4 linked regions of the Elephas maximus indicus genome follow. The protein of the gene in region 1 interacts with the protein of each later gene in a pairwise test. Links are inferred from orthologs where the notes say so. Each region holds a gene or a part of one and is shown in the gene's direction. Other genes may lie near its edges.

Region 1 (7,012 bases):
CACACATCAGCTAATAGGTCGTTTCCTAGAGATGCTTATTAATATTATTTTCCAGGACAGGATAAGGTGCCTGTGTGGCACAAATGGTAAAGTGCTTGACTTGTAGCCGAAAGACTGGTGGTTTCGAACTCACCCAGAGGTGCTTAGGTAGACAGGCCTGGTGATCTGCTTTTGAATGTCACAGCCTTGAAAACCCTTTGGAGCAGTTTTAGTCTGCAGACACTGGCTGCCATGCATGGATGGCAACTAACAACAAGACAGGATAAGGGATTTACCTCAGCCAGAATTCTAATCTGCAAGCAAAGAAAGGTGCGTCTGAGCCAAGCCATGGTATTTTCAATTGCATCATATGCATGTGAAAGCTGGATAATGAATAAGGAAGACTGAAGAAGAACTGAAGCCTTTGAATTGTGGTGTTGGTGAAGAATATTGAATACACTATGGACTGCCAGAAGAAAGAAAAAATCTGTCTTGGAAGAAGTACAATCAGAATGCTCCTTAGAAGCAAGGATGGTGAGACTGCCTCTTATATACTTTGGACATGTTGTCAGGAGGGATCAGTCCCTGGAGAAGGACATCATGCTTGGTAAAGTACAGGGTCAGCAGAAAGGAGGAAGACCCTCAATGAGACAGATTGACACAGTGGCTGCAACAATGAGCTCAAGCATAATGATTGTAAGGATGGCGCAAGATGGGGCAGTGTTTTGTTCTGTTGTGCATAGGGTCGCTATGAGTCGGAACTGACTCGAGGCACCTAACAACAACAACAAAGCAAAGAAATAAACTCTAGGTGACCCAAACTGGAAAGGAGTTTACCGAAACCATATTGGGGCTGATACAGTGTCTGGGAGGGTGTAAGACACAAGCTTGGTGCTATGCCAATCAGGAACAACCCTTGAAATCTCGAATACATAGATCTATCCTTAACCAATGGAAGCTTTAAACTTGACCACTAAGAAGTGGGTCACCAGAATATTCCTTCCTTTTATATTTCAGTTCTCTTAGTGTTACTCCTGCTTACTAAATATACCACTGGTAATTATTATTCTTTAGAAAAATTTTGATGTTGTACAAACATTATCACAGCAATTAAGGAATACTGTTTTAAAGGGATAAATTTACTTACAACCCTACTACCCAAGAAACCTTTTTTTTTTTTTGAGCTCTTCTAGGACACAGGCCAAAGAGCCCTTGCGGTACAGTGGTTAGGTGCTCAGCTGCTAATCAAAAGGTTGGTGGTTCGAATCCACCCAGTGGCTCCTTGGGAAAAAAGACCTGGAGATCCGCTCTGGTAAAGATTACAGCCTAGGAAACCCTATGGGTTGTTCTATTCTGTCACATGGGGTCGCTGTGAGTCAGGATTGACTCGATGGCACCCAACGACAATAACAGGACACGGGCCAAAGGTAAGGCCAGCAGACCTTTGGATCAAGGGCAGAGGGCTTCTGGCAAAGAGGAAGCCACACTGAAACTACAGTGGAACATAGGTCATGTCCACGGGTCATGAAACATAATTTATAAGTCGGTCTTTTTCTCTCAGTGGCACAGCAGCTCTGGAGGAGTATCTGCGCCATTTGGAAACCACCGAGGCTGTTTGGCTTTTCCGAACAGCTGTCTCGGTAAGCTCGCCCAGGCTCAAGGACCTGCTGCCCGTTTCCCTTTCTGTCTTTTGAAGCTCCAGCATATGAGGATTTGGCAGCTAGAACAAGGTTGTGCCGGCTGACACAGGAAACGGCCCGTGGCTGGCCTAGCGCCTGAATGCAGCTGAATGGGGACACACACCCAGGCCAGAGCAAGGAAGCAGCTGCCACTCAAAGCATTGGGCTCAATGTCACCAGCTAGCTTGTTTCCTTGTCCTAAGTACCTTGAGTGCCTTAGGAAGGTAGCACTAATGGGGGGACACAGAATAACTCAGTTCTAAACCTTGTAGTTTGGGTAGCTCTTTAGGAAAGAGGAAGAGAAATGGGGAGTAAATCAACATTTATTTAATGCATCTCACACCATGCTGAAGGAGCCCTGGTGGCGCAATGGTTAAGGGCTCAGCAAATCTTCCAGTGGCTCCGAGTGAGAAAGACCTGGAGGTGCGCTCCCATAAAGATTATGACAGCATAGGAAAACCTGTGGGGCAGTTTTACTGTCACATGGGCTCACTATGTGTCTGAATCGACATGAGGGCACCTAACAACAACAACATGCTATGGTGGAACTTCATTTATGCATATACTGCCAAGGAGAGTTATTAAGATTACTGCCTGGGTGTGAATCCCACTAGCTGTGTGGCCTTGGGAAAGTCATTGTACTTCTCTGTGCCTCCTTTTCCTTCTATAACAATAACAATAATAATACTATTACCTATGTCAGAGAGTTATTATGAAGATTAAATTATTATGTGTAAAGCACTTAGTGCCTGGAACTTAGTAAGTGCTGTATGTGTTTGCCGTTATTATCTGTTAATTAATTTCAGTGCAGCTCTGCTTATCCTTTTACAAATAAAGAAACTGAGGCTCATGGAGATTAAGTCCAGGTGGCAGAGCCTGAAACCAAACTCGGATTTATCTGACAGCAAGGTTTCTTCCTAGAACATGACCGGGCCTGCTCAATGCTATCAAATTCCCTCTCTTGCTTGCCAGCTCAGAGTTCAGTTTATCAGTCCCTTCTTTGTATCGACAAGGGTGAAATCTTATATGACTGGGACTCTGTCTTTAATCCCCCATTCGGTCCACTCCGTCCCTGGGAAAAGGCCAACGGCCAACATGTGGGGGGTCGGTGGGGGGAGAAACTTTCCTCCTATATTCCCACCCGTGGGCCTAATCAGCTCTCTGATATTGCCTTTGCTTCCTCTGACTAGCAGAAAGCAAGGGATAAGCATAACTGAATAAAATAAGTACGCTGATGAGCAGGACCCTCATCATAACCTGATGGATTTAGGGGAGCGGTTGGATCCCTAAGCCAGTGCCGTCCAACAGAAATATAATGGGAGCCCTGTTATATTTAAAATGTCCTAATGAAAAATCAAACCTGTTGCCGTGGAGTGGATTCTGACTCAGTGACCCTACAGAACAGGGTAGAACTGCCCCACTGGGTTCCCAAGGTTGTAAATCTTTATGAAAGCAGAGTGCCACATCTTTCTCCTGCAAAGCAGCTGGAGGGTTCGAGCTGCAGACCTTTGGTTAGCAGCCCAGGGCTTGACCACTGTGCCACTAAGCTTCCTTCAAAAAAGTAAATAACAAAGGTGAATGATTTTAATAATATTTAACCTAATATGTCCAGAATATTAGCATTTCAACCTGTAATCAATATAAAATTTTTATACAATAAAAATTATCTGTTTTACACCCCCCCCCTTTTTTTATACTGTTAAATCCTTCGTGCATTTTACAGATACAGCCCTAGAGCTATATAGGATGTGAGCACAAAAGCTACTGGCCAGACACTTGGATTCATGTCCTTGAATGGCCTTCTTCCTTCATTTAGCACTCTTATCCGTCTAAAACTGTCCCCTGCGGCAGATGAGAGCAGATATTCTGATGGAAAGAAATGTCTGAAGGGCTAAAGAAGTCGCTTTTTGCCTGAGTTTCCCGTATTAGTGCAGTTTTTGCAGGCAGTCTACGTTTCTTGTGTGCTGATAGAGCGTTTGTGACAATCTGCATGGCTCTCCATTTATTACCATGTGGGGTCAGGCATGATGATGGGGGTGGGGGGGGGAGGGCACGTCGGATTCTAGAAAGACTCGGGCCTCCTCGTGGGCCCTGACGAAGTCCTTTCCTGGGTCTTGTGCCCATGGAGACGGTGTGGTCCCCATTGACGACAGCTCCTCCAGAGGGGAGAGTGGCTTGGACCGCCAAGCAGAGTCTTGGCAGGGCTCAGATTTCCTGGACCGATGGCTGCGCTAGCCTGGAGCACCGCGCGGCGCTGGCCCTGCATAGGATGAGCGGCGGGGCGTGTGCATCCCCGGCATCCGCCCGCGCTCGGCCGGTGGCGCAGCTGCAGCAGATCCGCCAGGGCCTCCGCCCCCTCCCGGGCCTGGAAGCCGCAGGAATCTCCCGGCCCCCGGCCCCGCGTCCTTCCCTGCAGGGGCCGTGGGGCGGAGTCGCCCATCTGTCATTCGAGACGACCCACGTGGGCCGGCTCGGGGGTGGTAGAGAGGGAGGAGAAAAGGCAGAGGCGTCGAAGGAGGCCTGAGAGCGGGGAGGAGAGAGGAAAGGAGTAGACAGAAGAGGAGAGAGGGGAGCGCACTAGAGCCCCGGGGAGAGGGAGCGAGGTGCAGAAGAACGAATAAAGGGGACCTGAGACATCCAAAGAGGAACAGGTAAGGAAGGGCGGATGAACAGGAAGGAGGGTAGAACGGTACTGGAGAGCGTGGGGAAAGAAGAGGTGGGAGTGGGAAAAGGGCTGCAGAGGAGGGACGCTGTGAGACGGAAAGAAAAGCAGGAGACGATTTTAGAATGAGTAGGGGCGAGCGCTGCTCAACTGGGGGTCGGTGGGTGGGGGCGGGAAGCGAGCAGGGCTGCTGCGCCTTTAAGGTTGCCAGGGCGACGGCTCTGGCCAGAGCGAGGCGCATTGACGTCAGCAGCCGAGCGCTGATTGGCCGTGGCGCGGTCGTTTCCGGTGGAGCCGCCGCGGAGCCGCTTATCGGTGAGTGGAGCGGGGCTGGGAGGGAAGCGCTGAGGGAGCTCGGCACGCCGCAGCCTCGCACCTGCAGTCCCGTGCCCGCCGCCGCCCGTCACTAGGTAAGTGGGGTTGGCCGGGGGGCCTGGGGCGGCGCGTTTTGTTGCCCTGCCGCCCGTTTGGGGGCGCTGGACCGATCCAAGATGGCGTCTCGGGGAGCGACCTGCAGGGGACGGCCGCACCCCCTGCCCCTCCCCGGCCTCTACAGGCGCTTCTCTGCAGGCCCGCGCCCCAGGCCGCGCCCCCGTCCTGGGTCTGCAAACCCGAAGCCTCCGGGTCGCCGGGGCGTCTGCTTCGGGCCAGGGCTCCCCGGCGGCCCCGCCCCCCGCCCGCGCGGTCCCTGCGGCCTCCCCCGGCCCTCGGCACCCGGCCGCCTCCGCCCTCGCGCGTCGCGGTCTCCGCGCTCGCCCGCCCCCCTTTCCTGAAGGACGGCAGCTCGATTTTGCTGGAATTCGCCATCGTTGCCCCCGATGGTTCTGCCTGGTCTGGAGGCGCAGCAGTTCTTCTCCTCTCTGCTCCGTCTCCCTCCTGTCATTTCCAGCCGTCGTTTTCTCTGGCCTTCCCGGGACCGTTTCCCCCCACACGATGATTTTGGCCTGGCCCCTAAATTTTTTTGTCCCCCTTCATTGCCCTTTCCCGGTTCTCCCCTCCCCCGCGGCCTCCCGACTAGAGTAGGAGGAGGGGTCGGCCTCCTTGCGTTTTGTGGTCATGACCGTGGCAGAAGCCAAGTGAAGGACACTGTGCTGTCCTTCCTCTCGAAAAGACGCGATAGCTATTACTCCTCCAGCTCCTTGCTTGTATGGTGCCAGATGACTTACTACTGGAGAGATTCTCAGGAGTGACATCTTTTTAGCAGAGGAAGGAAAGCTAAGGCTTCAGAATGACCCCAACGAAGTGTTGCTTGGCCGGTCTGAGGGGTTGCGGTCTGAATCAGGAAGTTTCTCAAAATATTTAAGTCTTTGCGTGTAATCCTTTTGACACTGAATTTTATCACAACTGCATTTCCAAAAGAAAGAGTGTGAATGTTTCCTTATGGGTAGAGACAATACAGTAAGTTTTAATGTAGTTAAGTGATTTTGAGGGGAAAGCTAAGTTGTTGAGGGTTTTTAAAATGAATATAAATACAGGGCGAATCCAGAGATAGTCAATTACAAATATTAAGATTGTGGAATTCAGAGATTCACTTTGTGACTGCATTAATCTTGGGGCATTTTTATTCATATACTGCCTTATTACCAATGTCTTTTTTGTCTTTTGAATACATTACTTTGTTTCAAACAAGAACGGTCTCTCCTCTTGGACCCAATTCTTTTCATCTCTACCAGCCAAGGACCTGCTCTTTGAATGATTTCGCTGATCAGCTGCATAGTTCTATGGATATTTCTGAAATACATCTGAATGTTTTGAAGCAAAAAGATCTGATTTATCATTGTTCATGGTGGCCTTCAGTATTATTTGAAATGCAGAAAATTTTACTGAATGTATTTCTGTTCATGTGATTGTAATTGACTGACATGAAAAAGTGACTGGTATAAACCTATCCTAAAGTAAAGAAACTTTTTTTTGAGTGCTTTTTTTTGAAATAGCAGCATGATTCTTTTTCCATGGCCTCTAATTTATGGGCTTGTCAAGGAGCCACAAACTTTCTCAGGGTCTATTAATTAGTCTACTTGTTACTGACCTTTATTATGAAAGTTGTCACAACAAAATGAGTAACAGTGTAGCACTTTAGAATAGCTCTTTATCCTGGTATTTCTGTTTCTCAACTTTTACATTTAGAGTTTCATCTCTCTGGTTTGTGGTTTTGCATTATAATTGAAAAAAAGTCTGATTAGTATTAAATTCAGTTGCAGAGTAGAGGGGACCATGCTTTTTATCTTCTACTCTTAATTGCTTAAGATCTTTCCTCCTTAAAACCACTGGGTAATTCTGTTATTTAGGGCTGGAATCTGGTAAGTGATTGATTCTAGAATAAAAGATTGCTTTGAAAACTCATTTGGGGTTCCATTTGTGTCTTTTGACTTTGTGATTACTTTAGTAGTTGGCTAATCAGATTCTTTGCTCCAGTGGTTTGCTGTGTAACATCAGGAGATCCCTGTGGGACAGGAGTTACGTGCAGGGAATGTCAGATGTTCTTCGTTGTGCTTACTTGCTTTCATTTAGAGCTGACCTGTGTGGCCTTGCAACTCTCTGCCCTGTTTACCGTTTACACACTTCCCACGTCATCATGATGTCTTTTGCAGGGGAGAAGTGAATGAAATTTCCTTAAGGGCTTGACTTCTCAGCAGCCCGCCTCTGCAGGGAATAGTGGCTCATACTTCCTCCCAGGAGCTGAGGTTATTGC
Region 2 (5,648 bases), on another chromosome or scaffold:
TCTTTTTGCTTGTTTCATTGATTTCTGCTCTTAGCTATATACTCTTTCCTTCCTTATTCTTACTTCTGGTTTAATTTACTTTTCTTTTTCTAGCTTCTTGAGGTGAAAACTGAGATCACTGATTTTTAAACCTTTCTTCTGTTCAAAACCAAAAACCAAACCCATTGCCGTGGAGTCGATTCCAACTCCTAGTGACCCTACAGGACAGGGTAGAACTGCCCCATAGGATTTCCAAGACTGTTATCTGTACTGTATGGAAGCAGACTGCCAAAGCTTTTTCCCAACGTTTTGGTTAGCAGCTGAGCAGCCAACCACTGTGCTACCAGGGCTCCCTTCTTTTCTGTTACAAGCATTTAAATCTATATAAATTTCTAAGTTGTGATTTTATTATTTCGTTGAACGTGTATTTTAATATCCCTTGTCATTTCTTCTTTGCCTCATGGGTTATTTACAAATGTGATGTTTAAGTTCCAAATATTTGGGGCTTTTCTGAGGATTATTTCTAACTGAATTCTGTAGTAGTTAGAAAATACACTGATTTCAAACTTTTGGTGAAATTTGTTGAGATATGTTTTACGGTCCAACATGTAGTCTATCTTGTTAAATCTTCCATATGCACTCGATAATATGTATCCTCCCGCTGTTAGGTATAGGGTATAAATGTCAGTTAACTCAAGTTGGATCATAGTGTTATTCAAAAGTTGTATTCTTTCCTTACTTTAGGAGAGTAATTTTGAAATCTCCAGCTATGATGGTGGGTTTCTTTTCCCCTTTAAAGGGTTCTATCATTTTTTTACTTCATGTAATTAGTTGCATACACATTTATAATTGTCATTTCTTCCTCACTGACATATTATAAAATGTCCCTGTTTATCTCTCATAATACTCCTAGTCTTAAAGTCAGTTTTGATATTAATATAGCCATTGCAGCTTTTCTTATGCTTATTTTTTGCATAGTATATGCTTTTCCTAACTTCTTGCTTTCAATCTCTCTGTATTAGTTGTATTTAAAATGCATGTCTTATAGTATGTAGTTGAATCTATCTTTTTAACCACTCTGATCATCTCCGCCTTTTAACTGGAATTTTAAGTCCATTTCCTTTCAAATTTTTGATATGATGAGTTTAGGCCTGCTACCCCTCTTGTTTTTCTTCCTATGTTCCTCCTTTTCTGCTGCCTTCTGGATTCAATGTATCTAATTCCTAATTTAAGCCATACTTTTAAGTCATATTTGTTTGTATTATCTTTTTAATGGTTGCTCTGTTCAATTTTTTAAAATCTTTCTGTCCCCTCTGTCTTAGTTATCTAGTACTGCTATAACACAAATACCAAAAGAGAATGGCTTTAGCAAACAAAAATTTATTTTCTGGCAGTTTAGGAGGCTAGAAGTCCAAATTCAGGGTGCCAGCTCTTGGAGAAGAAGGCTCTCTCTCTCTGTTGGCTCTGGAGGAAAGTCCTTGTCTCTTTTAGCTTCTGCTCCTGGGTGATCTTCATGTGGCTTGGCATCTCTCTTATCCCGTCTCTGCTTGCTAGCTTGTGTTTAATCTTTTTTATGATTGACTCAAGATACACCCTACATTAATCTCTCATTAACATAACAATAACCCAAATGGGACTGTAATCACAATCATAGAGGTTAGGATTTACAATACATTTTTGAAGACAGTTCAATTCATAACACCATCTGTTCTTTAGACTGGATATAGATTTTTGTTCACATTCATTAACCATTTCTTCTGCATTCAATCTTTTTAGTTCATATGAGTTTTCAGATAATTGTACATTTTAGGTCTAGTTCCCATTTTTTTTTTTTAATATATATACCATTTCCATTTCTCTGATAAAATCCCCTATTTTATACTGTCTTTATGATCATTTTATATCCTTTATGTCCTAAAATATAAATAGCTGCTTTAAAGCTATTGTCTTCTAATTCCAAGAACTTTAATTCTGCTCCTAAGACCTGCTTTTTTCCTCGATTATGGGTCACATTTTCCTGCTGCTTTACATCTAATAATTTTATATGATGGACATTGTGGATAATAGCTTGTAGGGAATATGAATTATGCTATCTTTCTTTAAATGGTGAGTTTTGTTAGCATGGGACTATTTCTATTTGAACTTTGTCCAAGAGCATGACCCTTGCTTTAGGGAGGGGTTGGAATAATACAGCCTATAAAAAAAAAAAAAAAAAAATTTTTTTTTTTTATAGGCTTGCCTCCTGTTTTTGTTAATGAAGTTTTGCTAGAACACAGTCATGCCCGTTTGTTTACATATTATCTGTGGATGCTTTTCAGGACGCCCGGTGGTGTAACCCTTAAGCAGTGGGCTGCTAACCAAAACCCTTGACAGCACCAAACAACAACATGCATGCCTTTGTGCCAAACAGCGGAGGTGAATAGCTGTGACAGAGACCATATGGCTCACAAACTAGCTCTTTAAGAAAAACGTAGTCAACCCCTACTCTAGGGTATGCTCCTGACTCCTAAGGTGTCACCTCTCTAGAACAGAGAATATCACTTTACATAACTAAGTACCTGAAGTGTTCAATGAGGTCTCTCCACTCTGGCTAGTCTGGAACTCTAAGGCCTTCCGGTATCACTGTTCAGCTCTAAGCCCCAGAGCAAGTAATCTTTTGCTAAATCTTGCATATCCTCATCCTGCACATGTACATCCTAGCCAAGTATCCTTGGTGAGTCTCCACGGCTCCCTTTTCTCTTGAACTGTCTATTAATTCCAGCTGCTTCAGCACCCCAAAATTCTGCCTCAGCTCAGCAGAACTGCTACTCTCAACAGAAACCTAGGATGATCAATTGTAGGGCTTAATACCATGTGTTTCCCTTGTACTCAGGAAGCACAGTCCTCTGTTGCCTGTTGTTCAATCCCTAGAAATATCTCTCCACATACATTATGTCTAGTTTTATAGTTTTGGGTGAGAACAAATCTGGTACTAGTTACTGTTATAGTCAGACAAAAGCTGCTTTTGCAAAATTAACGATTCTAGGTAACACAGATTATTCTATTCATGGCCTTTTATTTATCTGACACTCAGTGAGGTCTCTAATCTTTTTCAGGTTAAATATGTCCAGTTCCCTTAACTAATCCTCATTGTACAAAATAGATACTACATAAGTCATCATATGGTAGAGATGCACAACCCTGACAGTCCCCATCTTCAAGGAGCTCACACACATCCCTTCTTCCCCTTTTAAAAGACATCTCGAAATCTTCCTGGAACATGTAGCAGGGCCAAAACCACCAAAACCAGTGCTGTCAAGTCGATTCCGACTCATAGTGACCCTATAGGACAGAGTAGAACTGCCCCATAGAGTTTCCAAGGAGCGCCTGGCGGATTCAAACTGCTGACCCTTTGGTTAGCAGCTGTAGCACTTAACCACTACGCCACCAGGGTTTCCTGTAGCAGGGCATACAGGACTAAATTATAAGTAGAAAGCCAGCTCTCCTATGTCTATCCCCATATGATCCTTAGGAGGCAGGGCAGGGAACAGATGTAGTATTGAGAGAAATCGGGTAGAATTTATACAGGTCAGAAAAATGTATAACAGTAGGCCTGAACAAAGGTCACTTTTTATAGACTTCTTTAATTTTAAACTATTAAAAATAGAATTAAAATACATGCTAGTTTTTACTTAATATCAGTGTTTTCAGAAATAGTTATTTCTGAATTTTATTCATTTTTAGAGGTATTTCTTTGGTCCATAGGCTTTAAGACATATTAAGAGACCATTAAGACCTCATTCATTGCTTGTTCTCTCCTGTGGCCAAACCTCCCTCCAGTGAAGTTGTTTTGTCTTGTTTCCAGTCACCCTTAAATCCTGAGTTCATTCAGTGACAACATCCCAGCTGGGAAGCTGAGAAGGAACTTCACAAGCCTTGGAGCCTACTCACTGTCTAAACACCAAAAAGTGGCAATGAGATACTTAACATTAATTTGAGCTTTCCATATCATTTCACAGGGAATATCTAATTCAGAAGAAGTAGGTGGCTTTGCCATGTCTAGACTGCATTGTTTCGAATTTGCACCAGTGTAAGGATTATCATTCTTTGCCACTGCTTGAGTTGTAAACATTTGACCAGGGGAAAAGCCTTCCTCTGGTAGCAGCCAAAGATGAGTAGGCTCCTGAGATTTGGGTCAGGAGCAAATTTTCATATGCTTGTTTCCCCTGACAGTATGGATCAGAGGTCAGCAAACACTTTTTTGTAAAGGGCCAGATAGTAAATATTTTAGGCTTTGCAGGCCACATGGTCTCTGCTGAACTCAACTCTGATGTTTGTTGTAGTGTGAAAGCAGCCATAGACAATACGTAAATGCATGTGCATGGCTATGTTCTATTTACAAATTAAAAAAAAAAAGCAGCTGGGATTTGGCCCATCGGCCATAGTTTGCTGACCCTTGGTATAGATAAATCTAAGCTATCAAACGTTTAACTGTTTTCAGTTTTATACCACTTTTTCAAGATCTTGAAAAGATATTTTCCTATCTTGTAAATTGCCATTTTTATTAAGTGATTGCCTTTTTTGATGAGATAAAGCTGTTTGTTGTTACTGCCTATCTCCTCCAAGTGCTAAGGAGGACTATTTTTACATGCCACCTAATCATAGAATATTTTGCATTCTGTAACTTCAAAATGAAACAAAACCTCCCTTCTCTCGACAGATAAACACTACATGTGAAGAGTGGTGACGGGAACACTGATTCCCCAAGTGGCCCTAGAGAAGGAAAGCAATCAGTATCACATGGACTTACCCTTCGTGTAGCCAAAGATGCTGTTGAAATAGTCTTTCTACTGCTTTCCTCCCCTCGGTCAAAACTCTTCATACCATGGGCTGCATGAAATCAAAGCAAACTTTCCCATTTCCTACCACACTTGAGAATGAGAAACGACACTCAAGTGAAGAAAACTTTATGCCAGAAGAGAGATTTCTACCAAGGATGCCTTCTCCAGTTGTCGAAGAGAACGTGAAGACGCCCCCAGAGCCCAGTGTTGTGGTCCTAGAATATGCACACCGTCTGTCCCAGGAAATCCTGAATGATGCCTTGCAGCAGTGGGCATGCAATAACATCAAATACTGTGATATCCCATACATTGAGAGCGAGGGGCCTTGATGGTAGGGTGATGACACTTTCTTAAACTGTGGTTATAGTTGGTGCTAGTTTTAAATATATGAAACAAAAGCAAAAATGGTGTGAATAAGTACAGATAACTCTATATGGATGTAAAAAAAAAAAAGGCCTATGATAACTTCCCTGGTGTAGGAACACAAGACGAAACGTGTTTTAAGCAGTTTTACATTAATAACAGCATTTTCTACCTGCTTGATCCTGGATTTTAGTCACTTAAAGGACACCACAATAATCAGCTGCATGTCACACCACTTTCTTCTTGAGGCAGTAGCAACATCACCAAAGAAAATGCTTAAGAATAAAAAGTGCCCCAGGTTCCAAATGCTTAAGGCATAACTTTAAAATAACATATTTACACAAAAAAGCTAAAGATATGAAAAAGGTTTTTCTTGGAATGCCTTGGCAGGGCAACAGCACTCAAGCCATAATGATAATTAGTGGGTCTTGTTTCTTAAAATCATTTGTGTCAAGGATCCCCACTTTTTGACACAAAGGATCAAAC
Region 3 (7,612 bases), on another chromosome or scaffold:
CCTGGTTTCACTCCTAATTAGCCTCTGGCTTTGGGGAGGTTACTTTGTTTTTCTATGCCTAGTTTTGTCTACGCTAAGACTGACTCCTAGAGTTGTTAAACCAAAACCCAAACCCAGTGCTGTCAAGTTGATTGGATTCCAACTCATAGTAACCCTATCCCAAAAAAAACCCAGTTTACTGTCTTATAGTAACCCTATAAGACACAGTAAAACCGCCTCATAGGGTTTCCAAGGAGCAGCTGGTGGATTCGAACTACAGACCTTTTAGTTAGCAGCTGAGCTCTTAACCACTGCACCACCAGGGCTCTCCTAGGGCTATTACAAGGGTTAAACTGCAGAGTTTAGCAGAGAACCTGCACGTAGTAAGTTTCAGTAAATATCAACACATCTTACATGCATTTGCAAATGAACCCCAACAAAAATAGACAAATCTATTAACCTGCTCTAGTATTATGGTGAAAAGTTCCTGGGTTCTAGTTCTAGTTTCAACACTGACATACTGAATAATCTCAAGCAAGTTGTCTCCTCTTTTTGAACCTCAGTTTCCTCATTCTTCACATGATTAAAAAATCCAGCCAACATCAACACCCATTCATGACAAAAACCCTCAGAAAAATAGGAATAGAAGGAAAATTCCTGAACATAATAAAGGGCATTTACACAAAGCCAACAGCCCACATCATCATAAATGGAGAGAGTCTGAAAGCATTCCCCTTGAGAAGGAGAACCAAAAAGGAATGCCCTTTATCACCACTCTTATTCAACATTCTGCTGGAGGTCCTAGCCACAGCAATTAGGCTACATAAAGAAATAATGGGCATCCAGATCGGCAAGGAAGAGGTAAAAGTATCTCTATTTGCAGATGACACGATCTTACACACAAAAACCCTAAAGAATCCTCAAGAAAACTACTGAAACTAACAGAAGAGTTCAGCATAGTATTGGGATACAAGATAAACACATAAAAATCAGTTGGATTCCTCTACACTAACAAAAGGAATATCAAAGAGGAAATCACCAAATCAATACAATTAACAGTAGCCCCCAAGAAGATAAAATACTTAAGAATAAATCTTACCAGAGATGTAAAAGACTTACACCAAAAAAACTAAAAAACACTTCTGCAAGAAACCAAGAGAGACCTGTGTAAGTGGAAAAACGTACCTAGCTCATGGATAGGAAAATTTAACATTGTCAAAACGTCTCTTCTACAAAAAGCCATTTATAGATACAATGCAATTCCAATCCAAATTCCAACGACATTTTTTAATGAGATGGAGAAACAAATCACCAACTTCATATGAAAGGGAAAGACACCCCGGATAAGTAAAGCATTCCCGAAAAAAGAAGAACAAAATGGGAGGCCTCACTCTACCTGACTTTAGGACCTATTACACTGCCACAACAGTCAAAACAGCCTGGTACTGGTACAACAACAGATACATAGATCAATGGAACAGAATTGAAAATCCAGACATAAATCAATCCACATATAAGCAGCTGATATTTGAAAAAGGCCCAAAGTCAGTTAAATGGGCAAAAGACCATCTTTTTAACAAATGGTGCTGGCATAAGTGGATATCCATCTGCAGAAAAATGAAACAAGACCCATACCTCACTCCATGCACAAAAACAAACTCAAAATGAATCAAAGACCTAAATATGAAATCTAAAATGATAAAGATTATGGAAGAAAAAATAGGGACAATGTTAGGAGCCCTAATACGTGACAGAAACAGTATACAAAACATCACTAACAATGTAGAAGTGAAACTAGATAACTGGGAGCTCCTAAAAATCAAACACCTATACTCATCCAAAGACTTCACCAAAAGCGTAAAAAGGCTACCTACAGACTGGGAAAAAGTTTTTAGCTATGACATTTCTGATCAGCTTCTGATCTCTAAAATCTACATGATACAACAAAAACAACTACAAAAAGACAAATAACCCAGTTAAAAAATGGGCAAAAGATATCAACAGACACTTCACTAAAGACGACATGCAGGTAGCTAGCAGATACATGAGGAAATGCTCACAATCATTACCATTAGAGAAATGCAAATCAAAACTACAATGAGATTTCATCTCACTCCAACAAGGCTGGCATTAATCCAAAAAGCACAGAATAATAAATGTTGGAGAGGTTGTTGAGAGACTGAACACTTATACACTGCTGGTGGGAATGTAAAATGGTACGACCACCTTGGAAATCGATTTGGAGCTTAAAAAGCTAGAAACAGAACTACCATATGATCCAGCAATCCCACTCCTTAGAATACATTCTAGAGAAATAACAGCCTTTACAGGAACAGATATGTGCACATCCATGTCCACTGCAGCACTATGTACAATAGCAAAAAGATGGAAGCAACCAAGGTGCCCATCAACAGATGAATGGATCAATAAACTACGGTATATATATTTTTTATATTTACACAATGGAACACTACGTATCGATAAAGAACAGCAAAGAATCTGTGAAACGTATCATAACGTGGAGGAATCCGGAAGGCATTATGCTGAGTGAAATTTGTGAGTTGTAGAAGGACAAATATTGTATAAAACCACTATTATAAGAGCTCGAGAAATAGTTTAAACTGAGAAGAAAATATTCTTTCATGGTTACGAGAGGGGGAAGGGAGGGAGGGAGGGAGGGGGTATTCGCTAGATAGCAGATAAGAACTACTTTAGATGAACGGAAAGACAACACACAATACAGGAGAGGTCAGCACAACTGGACTAAACCAAAAGCAAAGTTTCCTGAATAAACTGAATGCATTGAAGGCCAGTGTAACAGGCACAGGGGTTTGGGGATCATGGTCTCGGTATATCTAAGCAATGGGCATAATAAAATATATTAAGAAAACATTCTGCATCCCACTTTGGAGAGTGGCATCTGGGTCTTAAATGTAGTAAGCAGCCATCTAAAATGCATCAATGGGTCTCAACCCTCCTGGAGCAAAGGTGAATGAAGAACACCAAAGACACAAGGTAATTATGAGCCCAAGAGACAGAAAGGGCCACATAAACCAGAGACTACATCAGCCCGAGACCAGAAGAACTAGGTGGTGCCTGGCTACAACAGATGACTACCCTGACAAGGAACAACAGAGAAACCCTGAGGGAGAAGAGCAGTGGGATGCAGACCCTAAATTCTCATTAAAAAACCACACTTAATCATCTGACTGAGACTAGAAGAACCCCAGAGACAGAACTTCTGTTAGCCCAAGACAGGAACCATTCCCAAAGCCAACTCTTCAGACAGGGATTGGACTGGACAACAGGATAGAAAATGAGGCTAGCGAAGAAAGAGCTTCTTGGATCAAGTAGACGCATGAGACTATGTTGGCATCTCCTACCTGGAGAAGATATGAGAGGGCAGAGGCGTCAGAAGCTGGCTGAATGGACTCAAAAAGAGAGAGTGGAAGTAAGGAGTGTGCTGTCCCATTAGAGGAAGAGCAATTAGGAGTACACAGCAAGGTGTATGGAAACCCTGGTGGCGCAGTGGTTAAGTGCTGCGACTGCTAACCAAAGGGTCGACAGCTCGAATTCACCAGGCACTCCTTGGCAACTCTATGGGGCGATTCTACTCTGTCCTATAGGGTCACTGTGAGTTGGAATTGACTCAACGGCACTGGGTTTGGTTTTCGGCGGGTTAGCAAGGTGTATAAAAATTTTTGTATGAGAGACTGACTTCATTTGTAAACTTTCACTTAAAGCACAATAAAAACTAAAAAAAAATCGAGCCAACACTTACTGAGCTTCTACTACCAGACACACTATCTTCCTGGCTCCCTCCCTGGCAGGAGCTAAGGGCTACAAACAGTGACCTATTCTACTTGGCAGAGTGCACTCAAGAGAGTGGTGACAGATACTAAAGGGGTGGAGGCTTGATTTCACTGCTACAGGAATAGAGTGAGGGTCCGAAGATTCACAGGGAAAATGACATTTGAAGAAGACTTGAAGGATGATTCACTGGCGCTTGCCTTTCAAATTCCAGCATTCGCAGAGATCACCTTATGAAAATAAGCCCACTTCTCTTTTCTCATTTCCGAGGTCACTGTGACAAAAGAATTCACCGGAGCTGCATGAAGCAGTTCACGTCTCCTATTCCCCACCAAGATTCTCGCACACATCGAAGCCCCTTAAGAGAGGAGGGGCTGGAGGTGCACGCTGAAGCCAGTCCATGCCGGCCAGCGTCTAATTTTAGAAAATCTCAAACGGAAAAACACTGAGGGGTTAAGCTGAGCGTAGCACTGGTGGCCCAGCCTCTAGAAGAGCGCTCCAAGAGCCGCGCGTTATCTCGAAGGACCGGGGAGCTCCGGGAAGGATCCTGCTCCAGGAGGATTCCTTTGCAAAGATGGGGTCTACAGCGTAGGAGCCATTATCTACACTACCGGCAGCGTAGCAGAGCTGACGATGCCGACTGCTTCAACATCCACACTCCGGGAGATGGGCGCAGGTCGCACTCCCGCAAGGTCACGTGAGCGACGCGGACACGTGCCTGCACCCTGGAGAGAGTCGCAGGCGGGGCCGGCCGCCCAGCCTCCCGTGAAGCCTCGCGCGGGGAAGGACCGGAACTCCGGGTGGGCGGCTTGTTGATAATATGGCGGCAGGCACTGCCCAGGCATCTCTAGGAGGCAGTAGGGCCCACACCCGGAAGAAGGGTTTGTTTTCGGGCTAGTGCGGCGGCTGAGGCAGACCCGGAAGTCCGGGCCAGTTGCTGAATGAGGGGAGCCGGGCCCTCCCCGCGACAGTCCCCCCGGGCCCTCCGCCCTGACCCGGGCCCCGCCATGTCCTTCTTCCGGCGGAAAGGTAGCTGAGGGGCGCCGCCGAGGCGGCGGGGGGCGGGGGGCGGAGGGCGAAGGGGGAAGGGGGAAAGGGGCGGTGGGCCTAGTAGGGCTTCTCTCCGCTGTGGCTGCGAAACTCTTACTGAGCCGCTCGACCTCCGTGCAAAGACCCCTTGCTCTGCTCCGGGAATTTGCTGGGAGGGAGAAAGTGGCCTCCTCGTGCGTGGTCAGAGAGAAATTGTCGCGCTGCTACAAGAGTGTTGCTGTAACCCGTGGAAGTTAATACCTGCTTGCGTAAAGGCAGCTTTTCGGTTTATTTGCGTAATATGCCTCAAAAAAAAGAAAATATGTTTAGTACTTTGTTACAGGAAGTCTCTGATATTTCAGAATACTGAGGGTTTTGTTTTTAAAGGCAACGCGTGAAAAATTTTTTTCAACTAGTGCTATTTTCCAGTTTCGTATTTTCTGGGGGGAGAGGGCGGGAGGACTACTGCTGTTTCTAAAATAACATTACTTAGCTTATGCTAAAAGTTCGCTAATAAAGAGGACTACTTCTTTTGATGATTTAGCATGTTTATTAACCACTGGAAACCTAACTTTATAAAAAACTACGTATATATCTGATTTTCAGTTGTAGTAACTGCCCACATTCTAAGTAGAGACAGCTTGGTTCTTGATCCTGGGTAAAAAAAAAAAAAAAGTTGTATTTCATTAAAATTACATTTCCAAAGTGAACAAGTGTGAGTCTCTTTTGATGGTAGTGTCTCTGTGTCAATTCTTGCTTCAGAGAAAGTGTACCGCGCATAGGTGGGTTTTGGAAAAAGCACTAAACTAAATCAAGGACTTGGGTGCACATGATAGCTCTACTACTAACTGTAAAAAAAAAAACCACTGCTTGGTAAAATTCCTTAACTACTCTCAACTGAAAATGAGGTGATTCTAAGGCTCCATTCAATTCTTGACTAAGCAAATTAAAGAATTTCCGTATGTTTTTGGGGTTTTAGTAACTGATGCCAGGTGATAAACAGTGGTGAATGAATGAAATTGGTAAAATAGCATAAGGAAGCTTTTTTGTTAAGGTAATTGCTCTCATTTGAGAGTGTCGAAGTGATGAGTTTTTGTTTTTGTTTTTTTAAAGGGGATAAAAGCATTCTAAGTATTAAAATAAAAAAAAAAAACCCAAGTATAGTGAAGCAAATTGCAATTTAACGCAACAGATTGTTGTCTCTATACAACACTTACTGAGTGCCATCTATCTGCCAGGCACTGTGCTAAGCCCTCACGATTGAGCAATGAACAAAACAAAGTCTCTGCACTAATGGAGGTTATTGTCTGCTTGGATAGACAGACAATAAACAAACAAAACTTTGTATTTACACACGTATGTTGTTGTTAGATGCCCTCCAGTTGGTTCCGATTCATAACGAGCCTATTTATAACAAAACAAAACACTGCCGGGTCCTGCAATACCCTCACAATAATTGCTGTGTTTGAGCCTGTTGTTGCAGTATTCTTTGCCAACACCGTAATTCAAATGTGTCAGTTCTTTGGCCTTTATTATTGTCCAGCTTTCTCATGAGTGTGAGGTGATTGAAAATACCAGGCTTGGGTCAGGCACATCTTAGGTCAGAATGTTCAAAGTGACATATTTGTTTTTCAACACTTTGAAGAGGACTTTCGCAGCAGATTTGCCAAATGCGATACAAAATTTGATTTCTTGACTGCTGCTTCCATGGGTGTTGATTGTGGATCCAAGAAAGTGAAATCCTTGACAATTTCAGTACTTTCTCCGTTTATCATGACGTTGCATATTGGGCCAGTTGTGAGGATTTCTGTTTTCTTTATGTTGTGGTGTAATTGATAATGAAGGCTGTAACCTTTGGTCATCATTGGTAAGTGCTTCCAAGACAGATTTGTTTGTTCTTCTGGTAGTCCATGGTATATTCAATATTCTTCCCCAACACCGTAATTCAAACACACCAGTCCTTCAGTCTTTCTTACTCATTGTTTAGCTTTCGCATGCCTATGAGGCAGTTGAAAATGTCATGGCTTGGGTCAGGCATGCCTTATTCCTCAAAATGACATCTTTGCCTTTTAGCACTTTAAAAAGTTCTTTTGCAGCAGATTTGCCCAGTGCTATAGATTGTTTGGAAACCCTGGTGGCGTAGTGGTTAAGTGCTACGGCTGCTAACCAAAGGGTTGGCAGTTCAGATCTGCCAGGCGCTCCTTGGAAACTCTATGGAGCAGTTCTGCCCTGTCCTGTAGGGTCGCTATGAGTCAGAATCGACTCGATGGCACTGGGTTTGGTTTTTTGGATTCGTATAGGTCGGTTGGAGCCCTGGTTACACAGTGGTTAAGGCTTGCCTGCTAACCAAAAGGTTGGCAGTTTGATTCCATCAGCCACTTCTTGGAAACCCTATGGGGCAGTTCTACTCTGTCCTGTAGGGTCGCTATGAGTCGGAATTCACTCGATGGCAACAAGTTTTGTTTTGCTTTTTGATACTGTGATGGTTAAGATTGTGTGTCAACTTGGCTAGGCCATGATTCTCAGTGTTTTGGCAGTCATGTGATGTGGTCACTTCACTTTTGAGATTTGATATGTGAACACCCCCATGAGGGGATCTGCTGTGAATAGCCAATCGGTTGAAGGGGAGTTTCCTTGGGTGTGTGGGCAGACCTTCTGAGAGGGCTCGGGAGCTTTTGTTCATCCTGGATCCTGCAGCTGGCTCCTGTTCGTCTGACCTCTGGTTCTTGGGTCTCGAGCTTGCAGCTTACCTGCAGTCTTGCTGGCTGATCTTGGGATTCATTGATCTTCACAG
Region 4 (7,104 bases), on another chromosome or scaffold:
CCCACACTTCATCTCTCTCTTCCTACCTCCAAAACCAAAACCAAAACCAAACCGGTTGCCGTCTGGTCAATTCCAGCTCACAGCTACCCAGCGTGTGTCAGAGTAGAGGTGCATTCCATAGTGTTTTGAAGGCTGTGACCTTTGGAAGCAGGTTGCCAGGACTTTCTTCTGAGTGGGTTCAAACTGCCAACCTTTATGGCTAGTAGTCAAGCACTTAACCATTTGTGCCACCTGGGGACTCGCTACCTACTTCATTGTTGCTGTGTGCCCTGGAGTTGATTCCAATCCATTGCGATCCTAGAGGACAGAGTCGAACTGCCCTTAGGATTTCCAAGGAGCATCTGATGAATTTGAACTGCCAACCATTTGTTCAGTTGTATCACTTAACCACTGTGCCACCAAAATGGATTGAATAGTGGCTCCCAAAAAGACATGTCCAAGTCTTAACCTTTGGTACCTGTGAATGTCACCTTATTTGGAAAAGGGTCTTTGCAGATGTAGTTAAGGATCTCAATATGAGATTATCCTAGATTTAGGGTGGGCCCTAATCCAATGGCAGGTGTCCATATAAGAAAACAGCAGAGGGAGATTTGAGACCCAGAGAGCCACAGAGGGCAGAAGGCCACGTGAAGCCTGAGGCGCAGCCTGAAGTTATTCTGTCACAGGCCAAGGAATGCCAGGAGCCACCAGAAGCTGGAAGGGGCAAGGAAAATTTCTCCCCTAGGGCCTTCAGAGGGAGTGGAGCCCTGCTGACATCTTGATTTCTAACTTCTGGCCTCCAACACAAATTTCTGTTGTTTTTAAGCCATCTGCTTTGTGATATTTGGTTATGGTGGCCACAGGAAACTACTGCAGTAATTTTCCCTACCTTTCTCAGGTGCCATACACCAGTAAGATCCTGTTTGCCCCACCAGGTTGCAGACAAAAGACACCCTTCCATCCTGCTCCCTCCCACCCCTCCTTGCTTCTACTCCTGATTCCCATCTCACCCTCCCTTGTTTGATGGCCCATTAGTACACATCTCTCTGTGTGATTTTGCATCTAGCACACTGTATAACCAGCTGCAGTGAGGGAGCAAAGTCCAGGAGGCCCCCTGCTGTGCCCAGCATTAACTCATTAGGTCCTGGATTGTCACAACCCAACATTGACAAGATTCTTGGCGTTAATTCTAGTTGTGTACCAGGAATTGTGCTAAGTGGACTATCTCTTCGAAACCTCTCCACAACCGTATGGGTGATGAAAATGAAGCCTAAGCAGGTTCAGAGATGTGCGGCCAGGTCACCCAGGTAGCAAGCAAGTGGCTGAGTAAGGACTGGAAACTGGGCATGTTGTAGGGTGAAAACATCACAAAGTTTAGTAAAGCAAAACGAAAGCTTTATTCGGCGTTTGTTCAAATAGGCAAAAGTTGAAATGGACAAGCATGCTTCCAGAGCTAATGTCTGCCCAAATCCAAAGAATATTACAGAATAGGCAAGAATGGGAAAACGGACAAGCATGCTGCCACAGATATATCTGTCTGAGTCCAAGGAATATTACGGAATAGACAAAAGTGGGAAAATGGCTAAGTATGCTGCCAGAGCCGTGTCTGCCCAAGTCCAAGGGTTACAGAATGGCAAGAATGGGAAAATGGACAAGCATGCTAATGGGCAAAACCATTGAAAGCTTCACCTTTTCACAGATTGGCTAGAAACTGCTAAATCTCTGATTCTACATTTTGAATTGTCATTCTTAACAATCATTGGTACAGGTTCAGTAAAGACAGTCAGGAGGGTCTTCACTGGTCCAACAAATCTTACTATTCATTAAAGGCTAGTAAAAAACGATAAAAGTTGGAAGCATGAGGGTCACTAGTGCTGTGTTTTATGATTTGTTTATGTGAAAGATTCCCTAAAAGATGTTTTCCAAAATTGTCCTAGCTATTGTCTTTATACCTCAGAGCCCAGTTGATGTGTCCTTGTGAATCCAGCTCCAGGTGGGTCACATTCCAAGACAGAGAATAATGGTTCCAATATTATCTCCTAAATCAGGTGGCCTGACTCTTTGCTCTGTGTGCGGTGTGTGAGGAAAAGCCTGGAGAGAATCATCTCTCTGTGGAGTAGGGAACACTTAGCAAGAAGGGTCCTCCAGTCTAAGGGCCCTCAGAAAGGTACATTTTTTTATTTCAGAACAATGGCACCAGAGGGATACTAGCTGACCCCATCCTTCAGCCCTGATTGGAAGCGCAGGCCTAAGGGCTAAGAGGGAGGCCCTCATCTAGGAATTCATCCACTCTGAGGGAGAGCGGGAGGGAAGGGTGAGTTCCATGCTCAGAAATACAAGTTAAGCACAGAGCTTACAGAGCATGCAGAGTCCCAGAGACTTCTGGGGAATCACAGATTATAGGCCAGGACATAGAAGGTGAGAACTTAGCAAATAAGACTTATTGAGTCCAGAGGGTTTCCCTGCCTGTTTCCTTGAGGTGATACGCAGTGAGACTTAGCTTGGAAAGGTTATAATGTATTTGTGTTTAGAGAGGCGTTGTGAATGGGTGGAGTCCCTGGATGGCACAAAAGGTTAAGCCTTAAGGTTAGTGGTTCAAACCCACCCAGAGGTGCCCTGGAAGACAGGCCTGGCAAGATGCTTTCGAGAGGTCACAGCCTTGAAAACCCTATGAAGCAGTTCTGCTGTGCACACGTGGAGTCACCATGAGACTCAAAAGCAACAACAATAGTGAATGAGTAAAACAAGCAAACCTGCATCTCCAGCCTTGGAGGAGAGAAGTGAATGGGGGTATTGGCTTTAAACTGAGAAGGCTGGAAGCAGCCTGAGGTGTGCAGAAGAGAAGAAAGGGAAATAAGGGAAGCTTGCCTCAGCCTTGGCCAGAGGTGTGGCCCCTGCAGCTTAACTGGTGAACACCCCAGTGACTCCTTGAGCACGTAGGCAGAACGTGAGGGGGCCACATTAAAGCTAGAGCAGTTGTTGCTGTGGAATTTGCCAGTGGGTGACTTTCTTACCTTTCTCCCCATGGGCTGATAGCCATGTTTGCTGAAAGTCAGTGGCATTTTCTGGCGCTATATACGTTTTTATATATATATACGTAGGCGTGCTTGATAGGACCTTTTAAATAAACCTAGTCCCAAGTTATCATTATGCTATTACATTTGTTAGTTGTTGGCAGATCTGTCCCACCATATACAAAAGCTGAGCTATTTCAGTTACTGTACTTATGAGTCATCTTGCCGATTTTGTATATATTTTCTACCACTGTTCTATAATCTCATCCTTTCGCTCAGTGTGTGCAGGTGATAATTATGTTCTTTCCCTTTCTTACATTTTACTTCTATGAGATCAAAATAGCAAAAAGGACAGTTACAGTTTTCTCTTAAAAGTTTGTGGAGACTTACAAAGCTGACCTTGACACTAGCGCTTTGACTTAGATCAGTGATTACAAATAACGTAAGTGCTCTTCCGAGCTTTGCAATAAGCAGAAATGCACATCAAGATAGCCTTGCATTTTAAGGGCAGATTGAACTGGGTGCCCATCTTGTCAAATTGTGAAGTCTTCAAAAATTCTTTTTGTGTTGAGTGGATTTGCTACATCCGTCATTGCTACTGAGGTCTAAAAAGATCGTCTGGAACGCATCAGTATTTGTCAGCACTCAGAGAGCTGAAGGGTCTCCTTAGGGAAAGGGCAAGGGAGGTAGAACAAACTGTAGTAACCCAAGAAAAGATGGATTTGTATGACTGAGAAGACTAAAGTCACGTGTTTTCATTCACCACACTATTTCTGGAAGGTCTTGGCAATTTTTAAAAGTTGTTATATCATTGTTTTCTTGATGGCTTCTCTAGCTGTTCAAACGTGGTAAGAAGATGACAGTGTTATCACACAAAAGGGAAGGAAGAGCCGTGTTCCTCTGACTGAAAAATGTTTCCTCAGTTCCTGTCTGTCCATTACCTTGAAACTCTCTCCAGTTTTCTCAGACAACACTGGTTGGAGCTGACACACTCAGAGGAACACACACTTCCCCATTCAGATGACCACATCAGGAAGTAGAAGCATAGCTTTGACTCAATAGGGGCTTCTCTGCCCACATGCTTCACATACGTGAACTGTCAGGCCTCATCTGAGGGACTTACAGTGGGTCAAGATCTCTTCTCAGCTGAGCCCAACCTGATTGCTCAGCAAATAGTTTTGAGAGAAGCTTAGACCTCAAGTGTGAGAGCCGCGCACAGTTATTTTTCCCGAAGATGTGCTGAAATCACAGATGTCTACAAGTCAACGCTTAAGGAATGGCACTCCTAAACAGCAGGAAATTTGGTATGTTCTCAGTTGCAAAAATGTGTCCTAGATGCTGCAGATGGTGATTTTATTCTTCAGCCACGACAATAGCCCTAGTTGGGGCCCTGATCATGCATTTTCTGGTGACAATGCTCAATGTATTCTGAGCTTATTTTAACCATATTTTGAAGTGAAAGTACATGTATTTTAGAGAACTGAAAGTGACTCTATGTGATTAAATCGTAGTGTCAGTATTTTTAATTAGCAGTCTTTTGGTTGAAATCAACAGAACCCAACTAGCTTAAAAAAAAAAAAAAAGCTTAAATAATAAAGAGAATTTATCATCTCACTTACTTAAAAAGTCCAGAGGTAGTTCAGGCTCTAGATAAGATTTGATGATGTCAAGGGTCTCATTTCATTCTGTCTTTCTGTTCTGGCTTCCCCTGTGTGAGCGGGCATCTTAGGGCAGACTTCCTTATGGTCCCAAAATGGATGCCAACAGGTCCTGGGGTTACATGATTTTTTGTTTATATCAGTAGGAAAGAGACCATCTCTTCCCTGAATTGCCAAATAAAATTCCTGGGCTTCATTCTGACGGAACCAATGACTGTATTTGGGACTATGGGATGCCCTGATGCCATAATTCCGCTCATCCTTGGAACTGAGGGTGGATCAATCCCCTGTGATGGTTAAGGTTATGTCAACTTGGCTAGCCACAATTCTCAGTGGTTTGGCAGTTATGTAATGATATAGTTATCCTTCATTTTGCGATTTAATGTAATCACTTCTGTGATATGATCTGATGTGATCAGCCAATCAGTTGTAAGGGGAGTTTGCTTGGGTGTGTGACCTGCATCCAACACTAGCTAGCTTTTCCTCACTCCAGATCCTGCATCTGGCTCATCATCATCTGACCTCTGGCTCTTGGGACTTGAGCCAATGGCCTGCCATATTGCCTGCCGATCTTGGGTTTGTCAGCCCCGGCAGCTACGTGAGTCAGGAGAAGCCTCCAGACTGACACCTGACCCACAGTCTTGGAACTTCGCAACCTCTATAACCAAGTGAGCCATTTCCTTGAGATAAATCTCTCTCTCTCTCACCATATATATGTGCATATATATTTATCTACACACTTCACTGGTTTTGCTTCTATAGAGAACCCAGCCTAAGATACTCCCCAAATGCTTTGTTGAGAGTGAGGTAAAAATGATTGCAAGGGAAATTCGGGATACTCTTACCAAAAGAAGTATAAGTAGATGAAAGGACGCAAAAATAACCAACATTCTCTCATGAGTGTTTTGGGAGGAAAAGCTATAAGCTATCCAGAAAGGCGAGTTGAGGAGTGACTGGGAAGGGCTCTGTTAAGAAGTCTGAACCTGACGTCTTTTGAAAGGTGATTTTAATCAGCAAATATCACCTAATATCCACAGAAAACTCCTTAGGGTCATTAAATACCCAACAATCTTTTTATGAAGTCCTTGGGTGATGCAAACAGTTAAGCACTTGGCTGCTAACAGAGAGGTTGGTGATTAGGAATATACCCAGAGATGCCTCGGAGGAAAGACCTGATGATCAGCTTCCAAAAGATCAGTCATTGAAAACCCTATGGAGTGCACTTCTACTCTGCATACGTGGGGTTGCCATGAGTCGGAATCAACTGGTTTGGTTTTGGTTTTTTAGTCTTTTTTACAAATGAAGCTTTTTTTTTTATGTGTGGTTAGAATAGCTAGACGTCTGGATACTGAGTAGATCCAAAAAAAAAACCAAACCCAGTGCTGTCAAGTCAATTCCGACTCATAGCGACCCTACAGGACAGAGTAGAACTGCTCCATAGAGTTTCCGAGGAGCACCTGGCGGATTTGAACTGCTGTCCTTTTGGTTAGCAGCCGTAGCACTTAACCACTGCGCTACCGGGGTGCCCACTGATAGGAACCTATTATTTGATCATTGTACTTTTCGTTGTGTTTGAAATATTTTATAATTAAAAACTGAAAGTGACACACGGATATGGTAGACATTATCAATATTTTATATTTTTCTCCTTCCTGTGTGCTCAGGAGACTACGCTTTCTAGCTCATCTTGCAATTAGGCAGTTCGTGTGATTAGTGCTGACCAATAGGCTGTGAGCAAAAACGACACTGGTTTGGTCTGGCCTGAGAGTATAAAGCTCTGGGTGAACTTTTGGCTTTCCCTTCTTCTTCAACATGATAGTGGATGCCAAATATTGAGATGGTGGAGCTGCAAAGTAGTTGGGACCACCGAATCACTGCACAATGTCCACTGCCTTGGAGAGTCATCAGATGTTCTGGTTATCAACTTCTGTGTGTCATACCACCCCAAAACTTATTAAAGTAACAATTTTCTGTTATCTCTTATGGGTCTGTGGATTGACTGGGCTCAACTGGGCAGCTCTTGCTGAGGGGCCTTTCAGACGGTTCCAGTCAGTTGCAACTGGAGCTGCAATCACCTAAAGACTCATATGAACTGGATGTCTAAAATGGCTCACTCGTATGTCTGGAATTGGTGCTGGGTGTTGACTGGGTAGGGGGCAGTTGTGATTCAGTGGTAGATTTCTCACCTTCCATGCGGGAGGCCTAGGTTCAATTCCTGACCAGTGCACCTCAGGAGCATCCACCACTTGTCTGTCAGTGGAGGCTTGAGTGTTGCTATGATGCTGAACAGGTTATAGCAGAGCTTCCAGGTGAAAACAGACTAGGAAGAAAGGACTGGTTATCTACTTCTGAAAATCAGCCAATGAAACCCCAAGGATTGCAATGGGCTGATCCCATTGTACATGGGGGCTGACTAGATAGGAGCTAACAACAAGTCTTCTTATTCAAAGTAG

The links.
Region 2: the proteins of PRKAR1A (region 1) and C6H2orf88 interact in binary tests that used the Homo sapiens proteins (3 or more experiments, as listed by UniProt). The two-hybrid records come from large-scale screens. The link is inferred for Elephas maximus indicus from reciprocal best matches to the Homo sapiens genes PRKAR1A and AKAP19.
Region 3: the proteins of PRKAR1A (region 1) and AKAP10 interact in a two-hybrid assay, tested with the Homo sapiens proteins (3 studies listed by BioGRID and IntAct). The link is inferred for Elephas maximus indicus from reciprocal best matches to the Homo sapiens genes PRKAR1A and AKAP10.
Region 4: the proteins of PRKAR1A (region 1) and PLEKHF2 interact in binary tests that used the Homo sapiens proteins (3 or more experiments, as listed by UniProt). The two-hybrid records come from large-scale screens. The link is inferred for Elephas maximus indicus from reciprocal best matches to the Homo sapiens genes PRKAR1A and PLEKHF2.

The regions. Positions count from the first base shown.
Region 1 is NC_064837.1:58,913,784-58,920,795, forward strand, and holds the start of PRKAR1A (cAMP-dependent protein kinase type I-alpha regulatory subunit), read left to right. Parts: upstream 1-3,999; 5' UTR 4,000-4,309; intron 4,310-4,542; exon of another isoform or gene 4,543-4,635; intron 4,636-4,641; exon of another isoform or gene 4,642-4,730; intron 4,731-7,012. UniProt on the Homo sapiens protein: Regulatory subunit of the cAMP-dependent protein kinases involved in cAMP signaling in cells.
Region 2 is NC_064824.1:88,403,599-88,409,246, forward strand, and holds C6H2orf88 (small membrane A-kinase anchor protein), read left to right. Parts: upstream 1-4,843; coding exon 4,844-5,128; downstream 5,129-5,648.
Region 3 is NC_064820.1:212,340,357-212,347,968, forward strand, and holds the start of AKAP10 (A-kinase anchor protein 10, mitochondrial), read left to right. Parts: upstream 1-4,597; 5' UTR 4,598-4,730; coding exon 4,731-4,818; intron 4,819-7,612. UniProt on the Homo sapiens protein: Differentially targeted protein that binds to type I and II regulatory subunits of protein kinase A and anchors them to the mitochondria or the plasma membrane.
Region 4 is NC_064833.1:46,884,729-46,891,832, reverse strand, and holds the start of PLEKHF2 (pleckstrin homology domain-containing family F member 2), read left to right. Parts: upstream 1-4,095; 5' UTR 4,096-4,297; intron 4,298-7,104. UniProt on the Homo sapiens protein: May play a role in early endosome fusion upstream of RAB5, hence regulating receptor trafficking and fluid-phase transport. Enhances cellular sensitivity to TNF-induced apoptosis.